Macaca fascicularis: one gene and its partners. The protein of the gene in region 4 purifies or fractionates together with the protein of the main gene of each other region. This does not show direct contact. Links are inferred from orthologs where the notes say so. Each region holds a gene or a part of one and is shown on either strand. Other genes may lie near its edges. The genes, in order: PPP2R1A, INTS6, PPP2CA and INTS11.

Region 1 (4,030 bases), on a different chromosome or scaffold from region 4:
TGGCTGGGCACAGTGGCTCACACCTGTAATTCCAGCACTGTGGGAGGCTGAGGCAGGAGGATCACCTGAGATCAGGAGTCTGAGACCAGCCTGGCCAACACGGGGAAACCCAGTCTCTTCTAAAAACACACACCCAAAAATTAGCCAGGGGTGGTGGCCTGCGCCTGTAGTCCCAGCTACTCAGGAGACTGAGGTGGGAGAATTGCTTGAACCCGGGAGACAGAGGTTGCAGTGAGCCGAGATCACGTCAGTGCACTCCAGCCTGGGCAACAGAGTGAGACTCCATCTCAAAAAACAAAACAAAACAACAACAACAAAAAACTATGGCCATATCTGTTCCCTCTTCCTGGGCAGCTCTTTCCCACCTTCTTTCCATCTCTTCTTAAATTCTGCATCCTCAGAGGGGCCTTGCCTGATTGGCCTACTTAAAATGGATCTGCCCCACCCCACTTTGTACTTGCTGTGCCCTCTGCCTTTAGGTGTGTTCTCAAACTTGATCTCAACAAGGCCTCCCCTCACCACACTTTAAAACTGCATCCCCCAGGCCGGGCACAGTGGGATTACATGCCTGTAATCCCAGCACTTTGGGAGGTCAAGGTGGGTGGATTACCTGAGGTCGGGAATTTGAGACCAGCCTGACCAACACGGAGAAACCCCATCTCTACTAAAAATACAAAATTAGTTGGGAGTGGTGGCACATGCCTGTAATCCCAGCTACTTGGGAGGCCGAGGCAGGAGAATCGTTTGAACCCGGGAGGCAGAGGTTGCAGTGAGACAAGATCACGCCACTGCACTCCAGTCTGGGCAACAGGAGTGAAACTCCGTCTCAAAAACAAACAAAAAAAACCCCTGCATCCCCCATCTCTCTTATTTTTATTTATCTCCCTACTGCTTATCTCCAGTATACTCTGTTTATTATCTCTCCTCACTGCAAAGTAAACTCCCCTACTGCATGCCAGTGCTTATAACAGTGACCTGCACAGAATAGAAGGCCAATTCAATATGGATTCACTGCCACAACATCCTGTTTGTTTCCTTCCCATCACTTTTCACACACTCTGTTGACCTGTTTCACACCTGAATCCTGTATAGCAACTGGTGTCTCCACTATATCCCCAGCATCATACCTGATACATGGCACGTGTTTACTGAACAAAAGAATTCATACAACCGCCCTACGAACTAGGTAATTATCCCCATAAAAGAGAAGAGGAAATAGGCTTAGAGAGATTAACTAACTTGCGCATGTCAATCAGTGAGAAGTGGAAGGGCCAGGAATACAACCACAGCCGGTCTGCCCCCAGAAACAGTGATATACCAGGAACCTAGGAGGCGGGACCCACGTTTGGCAGGTTACCCAGTGCACCTTGTTCAATTTTATAAATGCGAAAACTGAGACCTAAAGGGAGGATGGGACCTCTTTAATCACCACTCCCAATAATCACAGTTAATATGTATCAGGCCCTTACAACAGGTCTGACACCATTCGACTTTTTATTTGTGCCATAATTCGTTCAGTCCCTCACAAGTCCCTCCAGCAAGACCAGGACTACAATTAGCCCATATTTTATGGAACACGGAGGCCCAAAGCGGTGAAGTAATTTGCACAAGGTCACACAGCGGGTGGCAGCCCTGCTCAGAGCCTTGGGCCACCGCATCCCATAACCAGGAATGTTCATCCGGGCTGGGCGCCGTGGCTCACGCCTGTAATTCCAACACTTTGGGAGGCCGAGGCGGGTGGATCGCTTGAGGTCAGGAGTTCCAGACCAAGCCTGGCCAACGTGGCGAAACCCGTCTCTACTAAAAACACAAAAATTAGATGGGCGTGGTGGCTCGCGCCGGTAATCTGAGCTACTTAGGGGGCTGAGGTGCGAGGATCGTTTGAACCCGGGACGCAGAGGTTGCACTGAGCCAAGATCGCGCCACTGCACCCCAGCCTGGGCGACACAGGGGCTGTCTCAAAGAAAGAAAGAATGAAATGTTCATCCACTTAGCAAATCCTTCACCCCCTATCCTGATCAATGGGAGGATCTGGGGAGATGGGGAAGCGGGTTTCTACAACGTAATTCGTTCTTCAATTTGGCTAGTCCCCACCTTTGGTGGGGGGGGGGGGGTGTTTTTGCGTCCCCGTCCTCTCAGGACACCTAAACCAAAATGAGACGTGGAGAAAGAGCAGGAATTGGGATGGCAGGCCTTCGCCTCTCGGTCCCCACTTGGGCCAGCAGTCGAAACCCAGAAAAGAAAAAAACCTTCCCAGGTCCTGACCCATCAGGCGGCTCTCCCCCACTCGGAGCAAGTCACGAGCGCCCCACATCTCCAAGGGGCCATTCAGAGGCCGCCGCCAATCACGGAGCCCTCCTCTCTCCCGGACCCAGTCCGCCGACCCCAGCCCTGGCCGCAACCTCCCAGGACCGCGGATCGCGGACCGCGGACCGCCGCGCGCACTGAGCAGGCCCGGGACCCTCGAGGCTAGCGCAGGCCCCCGCCCTTCACTGGGCCAACACCCAATCGAGGGCGCCGTCTCAATGAGTCCGGGCACCCGGGGAGATAAGAGACGCACGTTGATTGGCCGCCGCCCCTTCCGCCACTCCCAGCGAACGCTGAGTCTTCTCCGCGAGGGCTGCCCATGCCCCCAGGTACCCCTCCCCGTCTTCCCCAAGTCCCCCGTAGCCTCCGTACCTGAACGTCCTCGTTGCGGAGTTCGTCTATGAGCACCGCGATGGGGTACAGCGAGTCGTCGCCGTCGGCCGCCGCCATCTTGGCTCTGTCCCGTTCCTGTCAGACTGCGGCCAGCGCTCTGCTGAAACGGGGGGGCAGAGCTGGGAGGAGGAGGAAAAGCACGCGTGGGGGCGCCCGAACCAGTTTACAGGGGCTGCTCCACGGCCATTGGCCGCGCTACGCCGGCCTAAACCCGCGTTTCTTTGGTCCGGACTAGTGAAGTCCCGCCCACTTCCCATTTGCCATTGGTCGAGTGAACGAGATTTGACTAGTTTGAGCCTAGGGGAGGGGGAAGAAAAGCGGAAGTCAGCCGTGTCCTAGCGACCAAGATTGAACCCGCCTTCGTCGCTGCTAACAACGACCGGGACGAGCAGTTGTTTCTAGCCAATGAGGGGCGATATGGGGAGGACGCTAAGCCTGACCTTTGGTGGGTCCCGGGGATGGTTTCTGCGCGTGCGTAAGTGGTAATACGTGACGTCATGTGGGGAGCGGGAGGGTGTGCAGGTTTTGGGTTACCAGGCCATGGTTCCGCTGGCTGGCAGGCTGGCTCCCCGCGCCTTTGCGCGGCCGGAGGAGGGAGTGAGACTTTTATTTGTGTTTGATTTATGCCAAGGCCCAGAGAAGGGAGCGGCTTGCCCTGCTGTCTCTCTTTTTCTTTTTCTTTCTTTTTTTTTTTTGCCTTTTTAAAGACAGGGTCTCGCTCTGTTCCCCATGCTGGAGTGCAGTGGCGCGATCTTGGCTCACTGCCGCCTGGACCTCCCCGGGCTCAAACGATCCTCAGGCCTCAGTCTGCAGAAATAGCTGGGATTATAGGCTCGCGCCGCTAGGCCCGGCCAGTTTTTTAAAGAATTTTTGTGGAGACGGAGTCACTGTGTTGAGCTCAGTTGCCTTGCTCTTTGGATGAAACCCAAGTTCCTCGGGCCGGTATTCAATACCTTGTCTAGGCGCGTCTCCCGCCTCCGTTTTTTACCTTTTGTCTGATGTCCTGGAAAATCAGAGCTGCCTGAGCACATCTTGCGTTTTCGTGCCAGCAAGGCTCCTTGCCCAAGCTGTACGTTCTGCCTTTCTTATTCACTTCTCAGATCTCTGCGTAAATGCTCTTGTTCTCTAGGCTTCCAGAGCCACCAGAACCTCTCTCTCTGTCTCTCCAATCCCATCTATGTGTCTCAATCCCAGAGCCTGGGCTGTGACTATGCATTCGAATCTGTTTCCTCCATAGAGTGGGAGCAGGATTGGATCTGACTAATCTCTGTTTTTAACCTCTTCAACAAAGCCCCACCCCCACCGCAATCTTAGGACCACTCTGAGGGAG
Region 2 (4,028 bases), on a different chromosome or scaffold from region 4:
TCCTCGGACATACAGGCGTGGACTCCTTACTTCAGGTAAGGTGACAGCAGCTTGACAGAGAATGCCTTCCCTCCCACGGCATTTGGGACGAGACTGAAGGAAAGACACAGGCGGGGTTACGGGAAACCCATGCTCTGCGCCATCTGGACAAGCTGAAGTCAGTGTTTCCGCTTTCACACGAGGTAATGGATTATGATGGGCTCAGGTCCCCTTTAGCTCTGAAACAGGTATTCTATGGCTCTAGGTAAACACGGCATGAGACAGGTATTTCTCTGGTAGGATCAGTTGTATTTCCCAGAGAATAAAACGGGCAACAGACCATTTATCGATATGTGAATGGTCCCCTAGGCCCTATTTGGGGCTGGATAAAGAAAAAGAAGGTTTGCTTCCTTTTTGGCGGGTCCTCCAACGACAGAGTTCATGGCCCGCTGCGCGTCCAACTTCCACCTCTCGTCGCTCACCGGAGGACGAGCGAGGTTCTGGGCGAGGACAGCCCCTCAACCGCACTCCCCAGAGGGAGCGCTGTGACTCGCGGAGATTAGTCCCCGGTCATAAACAACCTCTCACTTCCCCTCCCCCGCGCCCGCCCGCGCCCGCCCGCGCCGGGGCGGCCCTACGAGGCCCAGGAACCTCCTCCAGCGCCCGCGAGGCCCCGAGTCCTCCTCGGAAGGGCGGCTGCGGACCTGTCCTCTTCTCCTAACCAGGTGTTTGTCCACTTTACTCAGCCCTTCTTACTCGTCCACAATACAGCCACCTCAGAGGGGGCGCTGACGCTAGCCCCTTTTTTCCTTCTGTCGACCCCAATCACCTCCAACAGCCAGAGGCCGGCGGCCCTGACGCGCAGGCTCACCGCCGCGGCCGGCGCGCGCGCGGACGCGTCCCCCGCCCCCACCTCGCGGATCTTCCGCGGTTCGGCCCCGCCCCTTCCCGAAGCCCGCCTCCGGGTCGGCCCGCCCGCCCGCTCGCGCGCACCCGACGCCCCGCCTCCGCGCGTGCTCAATAACTGTCCCCGGAGCCGGCCTGCAAGCTTCCCCCGCCCCTGAGCTGTTTAAATATGCTAATGAGAGGGCAGGGACTAGCCAATAGAACGGCGAGGCGATGTATCACGTGGCTCGGGGACGTGTCAGGGGCGGAGCCTCCGCAGCCCCTGCCCGAGTTAAAATCGGAGTGTGAGAGAGAAAAGCGCTTCAGTAGCGAGAGGGGCTGAGAAAGTGGTGACACTGCTGGGGTGCGGAGGGAGTCCCTGAAACTTCTCCCAACAGCCCCAGGGCCAATCTCCCCTCAGCCCACTCCCCTCTTAGCCAGCTCCCAGGTCCCCACTCCCTGTACCGGGGGTGGGGTGGGGAGCCAGGCCCGTCTCCCGCTGGGACACACACAGGGGCCGGGAGCGGGGACGGGACCCCCGAGGCGGGGGGGACGGACCGACAGACAGACGGCTGGGCGCCCGCCCCAGCGGGCAGGCAGGCAGGAGGAGGCGGAGGCGGGGGTACGACGGGGAGGACTGGGTCTGGGGAGTTTCCTCTCAACTATCGGGGGAGAAACTCCCCGCAGCCGGAGGAAAGACCCAGACGGTGTTTTCCTCCCGGGGGCCGCGCACCCCCGCCCCGCGTAGCGGCGGTCGCCGCCACCGGCGCCTCCACCTCTACCATCTCCTCTTTCTCCACCACCTCGGGCCCCGGTGTCCCTGGCCAGCACTATGCCCATCTTACTGTTCCTGATAGACACGTCTGCCTCTATGAACCAGCGCAGCCATCTGGGCACCACCTACCTGGACACGGCCAAAGGCGCGGTAGAGACCTTCATGAAGGTACCGACTGACCGAGTCCGGGCGGCGACCCCGGCCCGGCGGCCCGCGGGAGGCAGGGTGGGGGAGGGCAGCCAGGGCGGGGGTGTCGGGGACCTGACTGCGGGAGCTGCCGGGCTCGGGGACCCCCTCCCCCACCGCGCGGGCGGGCGGGCGGGCGGGCGCTGCGAGCCGGGCTCGGCCGGGGCCCGGATTCCGGCCCCGGGCGGTGTGTGGGGAGCGATCTGTATGTTGGGGGCGGCGTGGAGGGGTGGCCGCTGCGTGTGCGGTACTGTGGGGGCGGCGGGGCAGCTGGGCGCCCCTTCTCCGCCTCGTAACCTCGCCTCTGTGCTTCCCTCTCGCCCGCCCTGTTCCTCTTCCCGTCCCGCAGCTCCGTGCCCGGGACCCTGCCAGCAGAGGAGACAGGTATATGCTGGTCACTTTCGAAGAGCCGCCCTATGCTATCAAGGTAACAGCCCTCGCCCTCCCCCTTTCCTCTCTTCCCTTCCCTGTTCCTTCCTCGCTCGCCCTCCCCGCCCCCCCATTCACCCTTCATTATGCTCCCCTCCCCCACCCGCTGCGCTCCCAGCCGCTGAGGTCTCTTCCCTGCGGGCTCCCACCCCCTCCCCCGCTCGGCAGCGTCCTAGCGCGGCGCGGAGTCGCGGGGCCACCGCCGTCCCCTCCCGGCCCGGCTCGGCCCGGCGGCTGCGGCGGCGGCGGCGGCGCTGCGATCAACATGGCCGACATTTCCCCTCCGCGGCGTGAGCGGCAGCAATGAACTGTGGGGGATATTTATTCAAGTTAGCCGGAGTGACAGCCGGGCCCGGCCGCGCACAGCCCCGGTTTGCATTAAAGGGGAATCGGTCCGGCCGGCACGGGAGCCAAATACGGGGCTGCCAGGATTGGTCTTGTCAAATTCGTCCTAAGAGGGCCGGTGGGACAGCTGCAGGTTAACTTCCTAAGTCTGGCTCCCGTCTGCTTCCACTAGTACGTTCACATATCCACATTTTGGGTATTAGATTAGGTAGTAAATTTGTCAGTGAAGTTATAAAGTATTAAGGTTGTTAACTACCAAAACCTAGAGAGGAAGCAGGTTTATTCCTGGACCACCTTTGGAGGAGAGTTTCCTCAGCAGTGGTACAGTATTAACACGTTAACCAAGCCAAACCAACCAAAAGTGAAGCTGCTACTTGGTGACTGTCAGATTATAACGGCTGTGTGTACATGGCTTTAAAAAATGAAAAAAAAAAAAATCTTACATTTTTCTTTTCAGGCTGGATGGAAAGAAAACCATGCAACGTTTATGAATGAACTGAAAAACCTTCAGGCTGAAGGACTTACGACTCTTGGCCAATCCCTAAGGACAGCTTTTGATTTATTAAATTTAAATAGATTAGTAACTGGCATAGACAACTATGGGCAGGTAGGTTGAATAATAAGGTGGCAAAATAGTTGATTTTTCATTTTGTGGAAAAACAGTCCAATCCAAAAACTACATAACATGAAATGCACGTATAAAACATTCCAGATTAAAATAGAATATGCACATTGTTCAAAGGCAAAACTCTTACCCTACTATATATATTTTATGTCCCTCATTTTTTCCCCTTTTAAAATACATTTGTATTCAGGATTAGAATCTGAATCTTTTGCTAAAAATTTGACATACATTGATTTTAATCCCTTGAAAGTTCACTAAAGACCTAAAAGGGAAAGCGTCCTATCTCACCACACTCAAGTTGTGTGTGCAACTATTGTAGTGACTTACAGACACTAGTTAGTGGTCTTCATTTCTATATTAGTAAAGATGTTAGAGGAAATTAATCTGTTTGTTGCATCAGGGTTTAATGTGATCATGCTGTATAACTATTCTGAAAGGTAAGAAGATTTTCACTGGAATACAGTCACTGGCTGAGAACATTAAGTTTTCTCCTTTTGAAGCATACACAGTTAACTATTGCAGGAAGAATTCTGAATTAAATTTCAGGCCTAGAGTTTTAATTTAAACTCCAAACCCTTTGCAAAAAAGACTGCTGGAAAATATGAAAGAACCCTTCGTTTCTTAACCCCCACAGGTCCTTTTATTTCACTTACTTTCATCTATTTGAGGGTGAGAGGAGCTTTAAATCAACAATTCACTAAGGAAGAATGCAAGGTGGTCTATTGTAACATTTTATGATATCTTTGCCCTGGAAATAAGAGATACTGAACAACATATAATGTTACATGTAACAAAGGAATATTA
Region 3 (2,991 bases), on a different chromosome or scaffold from region 4:
GGCTAATGCTTTAACACTTTCTTATCGGAGACAAATTTAACTCTAAGAACATATGACTCAACAATGTACAAAGATTTAAGAATTTGCCAATCTGTCAATCATTTTAAAGAGTCCATATAATATACATAGCAATATAATATTCATAACCAGAAACTGCACTAAGTAAACACATCATTTAGTTTGTTAAGCTCTACCTGAAAACATGCTGTTTTATTAAAACAAAACCCAAAGACTTAAATCTCAAGTTATATGGTTTTACAATTAAGTCTTACTGAAGCAGCACAGATTTCCTTTCTTACAAACAAATTAATATGCAGGAAGAACCCACAAAGTGCACACCAACAATGTGACAAACTGTAATATGTGAAATACAAATAAATCCTGAAGTTAATCTGAAGAATGTCAAGGAGTTACCAGAGGTTATGTAGTGCCCTTGATTTTTATTTTATCTACAAGTCTACAAATTCTAAAATTTACTCAATTGATTTAACTTTTTTAATAAACAGCACCAGTCTTGCCCATTGATACAATTAAAATTTGACCTTCTCAGTTCTTAGTTCACAAGTTTATTATGAAAAACACTGCAGTGCTCTTGTGCAGTCACATCATCTTACAGGAAGGGAGAAAAAAACAGTTCTGTTCAAAACAACTCACCAGGTTCTGACAATAACAAAGAACAACATGGGGCTGAGATTTGAGTAGGGAATAAACTGAGTGCAGACAAATCATATAATTAAATTAAACGGTATCCCTGAAAATAAAAAGAACGATTTCAAAACTCACAAGTAGAAGGGAGGCCTTGGTACTTATTTTTAAAAATGTTCATTAAGCTCCAATGATTGTTTGCTGCTATCCTTATCTACAGTCATGCTGAGTAAAGCTATAGCTAAATGGAAGTTAAATTGTATTCACGAGGTGTTAATGTTTACATCTTATTATCTGCAGTCTCTCAGAGAAAGCAAAAGTAACTACAAATAGCGCTATGCCAGAAACTGGTTTCTTGACCAACAATGTCGCTTCAGCATGCAATGAACTGGTTCATTCTAAAGTGGTCACGGCTGTTGATGACAAGAGGCTTTGTATTTTTATATGGCACATCTTTTGGTCCATGTGAAAACAAGTTTTTTGAATGTTAACTATTTTCTGACACTTTGGAGTTACTGTTGCTCTTCCCATTTCCATTAGGTCGATATATGGTTCATGGCAATACTGTACAAGTTTAAAATTTCATTACAGGAAGTAGTCTGGGGTGCGACGAGTAACATGGGGCTCGCCTCTACGAGGTGCTGGGTCAAACTGCAAGCTGAAAAACAAGACAGATTCATGGTTTATGTTCCAAGACCTCCATGTACTGACAATCAAAATCAAGAACATGAGTCTTTCAAACTTTACACTTCCTATCCAATTTCAGCTTGTCTTAATGTAACAGAACCCTAATGATAATGGTCTGTTAACCGTACTCCCCTTGAAAGAGTCAAGGCAAATTCAGCCACAGAGACTATGCTTTTATAAAAATATGGTTTTTACCTTGACTGAAATTTCAAACAAAACAAAACATGGTTGGCGGGGCGTGGTGGCTCACGCCTATAATCCCAGCACTTTGGGAAGACGAGGCGGGAGGATAATGAGGTCAGGAGATCGAGACCATCCTGGCTAACACGGTGAAACCCCATCTCTACTAAAAAAATACAAAAAAATTAGCCGGGCACAGTGGCGGGCACCTGTAGTCCCAGCCACTCGGGAAGCTGAGGCAGGAGAATGGCGTGAACTCGGGAGGCGGAGCTTGCAGTGAGCTGAGATCGCGCCATTGCACTCCAGCCTGGAGGACAGAGCAAGACTCCGTCTCGGGGGGGGGGGGGGGGGGGGGGGGGGGGGGGAAGAAAAAGAAAAAACAAACAACAAAAAAACACAAAACATGGTTTTAAAAGTGAAAAACCTAGTAATTTATACTAGGATCTATATATAATAAGTTCCTGTGGGTGTGTTTCAATGTAGGTCCATTCAAAAACTTAAAAATAAAAGTTGGAATCTAACATAGTATAATCCCTTAATAAACTCTTTTTTGAGATGAAGTCTCGCTCTGTTGCCCAGGCTGGAGTACAGTTGCGGTATCTTGGCTCACTGCAACCTCTGCCTCCCAGGTTCAAGAGATTCTCCTGCCTCAGCCTCCCAAGTAGCTAGGATTACAGGCATGTGCCACCACGTTGGGCTAATTTTTGTATTTTTAGTAGAGACGGGGTTTCACCATGTTGGTCAGGCTTATCTTGAATTCCTGACCTCAGGTGATCCACCCACCTGAGCCTCCCAAAGTGCTAGGATTACAGGCGTGAGCCACCGTGCCTGGCCCCCTTAAACTCTTAAACCTCACATTTAACTATGTATTCAGGCTGGGCACTGTATCTTTTTTTTTTTTGAGACAGACTCTCACTCTGTCGCCCAGGCTGGAGTGCAGTTGTGCGATTTCGGCTCACTGCAAGTTCACACCATTCTCCCGCCTCAGCCTCCTGAGTAGCTGGGACTACAGGCACCCGCCACCACGCCTGGCTAATTTTTTGTATTTTTAGCAGAGACGGGGTTTCACCATGTTAGCCAGGATGGTCTCAATCTCCTGACCTCGTGATCTGCCCACCTCGGCCTCCCAAAGTGCTGGGATTCCAGGCCTGAGCCACCGTGCCTGGCCGGCACTGTATCTTATACTTGTAACGCCAACACTCTGGGAGGCCAAGGTGAAAGGATCACTTCAGCCTAGGAGTTTGAGGTAAGACTGGGCAATATAGTGACACCCTCTCTCTCAAAATAAATAAACAAACCAAAAACCTACATATTCAGTAATGCAATAAAATGTTCAAGTAGAAATACTTACAAAGAGTATTTTAGAGTATCGTCAAGTTCCATGATTGCAGCTTGGTTACCACAACGATAACAATAGTTTGGAGCACTGAAAATTGTTACTACATTTCGGTCATGGCACCAGTTATATCCCTACAAGGA
Region 4 (4,196 bases):
ACATCCAGGCACCCATGCTTTGTGTGTCACCAAGCACCCTTGCCCTGTCTCCCCGGGTGCCCCAAGGGCCCGCACCTGCTCCAGGGAACCTGAGACTCAGCTGCATCCCACCTCAACCAGGAAGAACCCTTACCCCATTGGGCCTGGGGGTTCCTAGGCCCGTTGGTGCTGGGAGCCCTCTCCTGCCCTCCCTGGCTGCAGGGACTCCAGCAGGGACAGGGAGGGTACCCAGCTGTGGTGAGAGCTCCTGGCCAGGAGCAGGTGTGCAGGTTGCTCAGCGCCCTAGGACTGGGCCCTTCATCACTAGGGAACATGGGCTACAAGCACTGCCCAGCCCGTGGCCCAGGCTGCTGGAGTGCTGGTGCCCGGAGGGAGCTGAAGCCTTGCCTTGCAAGCCCCACAGGTTGGGCTGCGTGCTTGGCACCAGGCGGAGGCCCCAGATGTGAGCTCACCGGGCTTCAGGTGTAGGGAATGGCTGCTCCTGGGCCTCAGGAAGATGGAGTCCCATAGACTTCTAGCACGCCCCTCCCCTCCTCAGGCCTTAATTTTGTCCACTGAGAAGATGGTCTCTGAGGCTCTGGGGTTTCCTTCTTGGTCACCAGATATTCTGCGGGCCTTGCCTGCCTGCCGGCCCAGATCCGAGCCAGTGGCAAACAGGAGCTGCCAGGAGCCTCTCAGAGCTGTGGCTGGTGGCTCCGGGACAACAGGAAGGGCAGTGGTTGTGCAGGAGGCAGGCAGCTCGCCAGCCCAGGAAGGTGACCCAGGGCACCTCCAGGCCTTTCCCAGGGCAGCCCACCGGCCCAAGGTCAGGGCTGGGCGCCAGGGCGGCCTGAACACACAGCCCGGTGGCTGACAGCAGGCTGGGGGGACGGCAGAAGACGGGGCCACCACGGCGCCCCAGGCCTTGTGGGTGGAACCAGACCGTGTCGAGCTAGCGCTACGAGTCTCACCTGGGAAGGGGGCTTCAGATGGCACCGGACTGGATGGTCACCGGTTCGGGTCCCTGCTCCACCTGGGAGCCCAGGAAAGGGTGGAGGCCCGGGGTGGTGCTGAGGAGGGGCCGACCTGAGCCACGGCTCCGTCCTGCGCGGGAGCCGGGTCCTCGGCCGCCCGCCCACTCCGGCCTTCTAGGACGACGTCCCCTCCCGCTCCCGGTCCCTCGGCGACCTCCGTACCCTGCCGGTTGGGTTGGGCAGGTGCGGCCGCCGAGCCGGAGCCGCTCACCTCGGCCACAGCTGCCGTCCGGGCCCCGCCCTCGCTCATCGCCCCGCCCTGTCCCGCTCTCGCCCGCCGCCCTGATTGGTTGGATGCTGTCCAATCAGGAGGCCAGGCGCGCAGACTCGCGTTTCCGGCTAACGCACCGGAAGTTGACACCCTGGTGGTTGCGCCTGCGCAGTGCATCACCGCGCGCGGGACTCGCGGCTCTGGGAACGCGGCGGAGACGATGCCTGAGATCAGAGTCACGCCCTTGGGTGAGTGGGAGCCGCCGGCAGGGCTGTGGGGCGGGCTCCGTATGCGGCTCCGGGCGGGCTGGGCGCCCCGCTCCCTCCGGGTTGTCATGGAGCCGGGTGCGCGTCGCGGGCGTCCTCGGTCTCCTCCTTCCCGCGTGGGCCCTGGTGGGAACCGAGAGGCGGCCGAGTCCCTGCACCCTCGGCCTCCGGCAGTGACGCGAGAACGCGAGCCCCGAGGTTCAGGCGGCCGTGAGGGGACGTCGCAGAGGGGGCTGCGGGGCCTCCGCGCTCGCTGTGCGCTTTCGTTGGTGCGTTGACCTCCCTGTGCGGCGCGCTGCCGCCTCCAGCCCCTCAGTCCCGCAGCCCCCCAGCCCCCCAGCCCCCCAGTCCCCCAGTCCCCCAGTCCTCCAGCTTCTCAGCCTAGCAGACCCCCAGCCTCTCAGCCGCCCAGCCCCCCAGTCTCGCTGTCCCGCTTCTGCCTCCTCACCTCTTGCTTTCTGTCCACCACTCCTTGTGCTCACGCCCAAATTACAATCAACTCTCAGTTCAGCTCTTGTTCTACCTGATTTCTGCAACACTGAAAAAACCAGCAAAAAACACAAATGTATACTCTTAAGAGTCCTAACAGGCTGGGCACTGTGGTTCACGCCTGCAATCCCAGTACGTTGGAAGGCAGAGGTGGGAGGATCGCTTGAGCCCAGGAGTTTAAGACCAGCCTCGCCAACATGGCAAGACCCCATCACTCAAAAAAAAAATGCAAAATTAGCCGGGCATGGTGGTGTGTGCTTGTGGTTCCAGCTACTCAGGAGGCTGAGTTGTGGGGATTGCTTGAGCCCGGGAGGTCGAGGCTGCAGTGAGCCATGATTGTGCCACTGCACTCCAGCCTGGGCGACAGCAAGACCATATGTCAAAAAAAGTCAAAGTCCTAACAGTATAGAACAATGCGAAGGAGGAAAGAATTAGTCAAAACCCAGGGTCTCAGAAACACCTGGGGGGACATGGTGCTGGTGGCCAACCATCCTGATGTCCTGGGCGTTTTCCACACGTGCCTGCCCTGTGCTGTCCTGGAACCTGGTCCTTCCACTGGGCAGGGGGTCGAGGGCATCTTCCAGCACAGACACTGGGATGAGATTACATGTCCTTCCTCATGGCATGAGCGCTTCCTTGGAGGGGTGCCTGCTGCCCCGGCGGGGATACTGTGCTGTGAACACCCCTGGCCTGTGCACAGCCCACGGTGTTAGGGTGGGCCCTGCTGCCCTCCCCTGCTCTCTGGGGCCTCTGCTGGGTCCTCCCAGACTGCCCCTTTCCCATTTGGCCTCTTGGCTGCCTGTTCTACCCACTCTCTGGACAGTCTGATCTTTCATGTGGCTTCAGTGGCTCCCAGTCTGTACCTGGGTGTATTCTTTTTTTTTTTTTTTTTTGAGACGGAGTCTCGCTCTGTCGCCCAGGCTGGAGTGCAGTGGCCGGATCTCAGCTCACTGCAAGCTCTGCCTCCCGGGTTCCCGCCATTCTCCTGCCTCAGCCTCCTGAGTAGCTGGGACTACAGGCGCCCGCCACCTCGCCCGGCTAGTTTTTTGTATTTTTTAGTAGAGATGGGGTTTCACCGTGTTAGCCAGGATGGTCTCTATCTCCTGACCTCGTGATCCGCCCGTCTCGGCCTCCCAAAGTGCTGGGATTACAGGCTTGAGCCTGGGTGTATTCTTAAGGTCACCTCAGCCAGGGTATCGGCAGAGCAGAACTGTTTCCCCACCTCCCTGTGCCAGGGACTGCCTTGGGCTCCGTGCTCACTGGGCCAGTGCTGTGTCCTTGGGGTCACTCCCACGCCCTCGCCTGTGCGTGACTGTCCCCCGACCCTGCCTGTCCCTCCCAACCCTGTTCCTCCCCCTTCCCCCATCCTGCTCAAAAGTTGGCTTCTCAGGGAGCACTTTCCTGTCATGGTTCTGGAAGTTTCAAGGCTTCCTCATCCTCTTACCTTGCTCTTCTGTCACAGTAGCCTCCATCTGGTGTACTCGAGGTGTCTTGTTCACTTGTCTGCTGTCTGTCTCCTTGCAGACAGGGATGCCTCCTCCTCTGTCTTCTCAGCCCTGTCCCCTCCTGTAGCTCCAGGCTCTATTCCCTGGGATCACTGTGGGTCCTGTTGGGAGGCGGGACTGCCAGTACCTCAGGATTGGGCTTTGGAATTCAGAAGACCAAGCCAGGCCGCACGCTTCAGGGCCACAAGTGCCTCTGTGGCCTTAGGTCCTTGGCTGTGAAGAGGGGCGGCCCTCCCTTCCCACAGATGCCAGAGGGCCTCTGTGAGCCTGGCATGGCTTGGGGTAGGAGGTGCAGAGGGAGGAGACAGCTGAGACCCTGCTCTCAGAGAGCTCACACCCAGTGGGGGCAGGAACAGGCCTAGAAGAGAACCTGAGACCCCCATTCGTGGCAGGCAGGCCCTCGGCTGTGGCCCCGCTATCCTGATGTGTGGTGCTGGCTTTGGACGTTTCAGGTGGCTGGTCGGGGAAGGTGGGTGGGGATTCAAGGGGAAAACCAGGCCATTCACGGCCATCAGACTCCCGCCCAGGCACAGGCTGTGCAGGGGCCATGGCCCTTTCCTTGTGGGCCTCCAGGTCACATGAGGGGGCTGAGTGTGCCTTGGCTGGCCAAGGCCTCTGGCTGGAGCAGCTGGGCAGGGCTGCTTGGCTGTCAGGAGTGTGGGAGGGCTGCAGATTAGGGTCTGTGTTGGGGGCTGCGTGGTGGGCAGTGGTG

What was found.
Region 1: the proteins of INTS11 (region 4) and PPP2R1A purify together in Homo sapiens (affinity purification with mass spectrometry; 3 studies listed by BioGRID and IntAct, with this or other methods). This does not show direct contact. The link is inferred for Macaca fascicularis from reciprocal best matches to the Homo sapiens genes INTS11 and PPP2R1A.
Region 2: the proteins of INTS11 (region 4) and INTS6 purify together in Homo sapiens (affinity purification with mass spectrometry; 3 studies listed by BioGRID, with this or other methods). This does not show direct contact. The link is inferred for Macaca fascicularis from reciprocal best matches to the Homo sapiens genes INTS11 and INTS6.
Region 3: the proteins of INTS11 (region 4) and PPP2CA purify together in Homo sapiens (affinity purification with mass spectrometry; 4 studies listed by BioGRID and IntAct, with this or other methods). This does not show direct contact. The link is inferred for Macaca fascicularis from reciprocal best matches to the Homo sapiens genes INTS11 and PPP2CA.

Annotation. Positions count from the first base shown.
Region 1 is NC_088393.1:59,956,995-59,961,024, reverse strand, and holds the start of PPP2R1A (serine/threonine-protein phosphatase 2A 65 kDa regulatory subunit A alpha isoform), read right to left. Parts: upstream 2,808-4,030; 5' UTR 2,758-2,807; coding exon 2,680-2,757; intron 1-2,679. UniProt on the Homo sapiens protein: The PR65 subunit of protein phosphatase 2A serves as a scaffolding molecule to coordinate the assembly of the catalytic subunit and a variable regulatory B subunit.
Region 2 is NC_088391.1:30,616,907-30,620,934, reverse strand, and holds the start of INTS6 (integrator complex subunit 6), read left to right. Parts: upstream 1-1,184; 5' UTR 1,185-1,696; coding exon 1,697-1,807; exon of another isoform or gene 1,808-2,174; coding exon 2,175-2,252; intron 2,253-3,056; coding exon 3,057-3,206; intron 3,207-4,028. UniProt on the Homo sapiens protein: Component of the integrator complex, a multiprotein complex that terminates RNA polymerase II (Pol II) transcription in the promoter-proximal region of genes.
Region 3 is NC_088380.1:140,719,124-140,722,114, forward strand, and holds the end of PPP2CA (serine/threonine-protein phosphatase 2A catalytic subunit alpha isoform), read right to left. Parts: intron 2,983-2,991; coding exon 2,864-2,982; intron 1,304-2,863; coding exon 1,231-1,303; 3' UTR 554-1,230; downstream 1-553. UniProt on the Homo sapiens protein: Catalytic subunit of protein phosphatase 2A (PP2A), a serine/threonine phosphatase involved in the regulation of a wide variety of enzymes, signal transduction pathways, and cellular events.
Region 4 is NC_088375.1:233,455,039-233,459,234, forward strand, and holds the start of INTS11 (integrator complex subunit 11), read left to right. Parts: upstream 1-1,392; 5' UTR 1,393-1,444; coding exon 1,445-1,472; intron 1,473-4,196.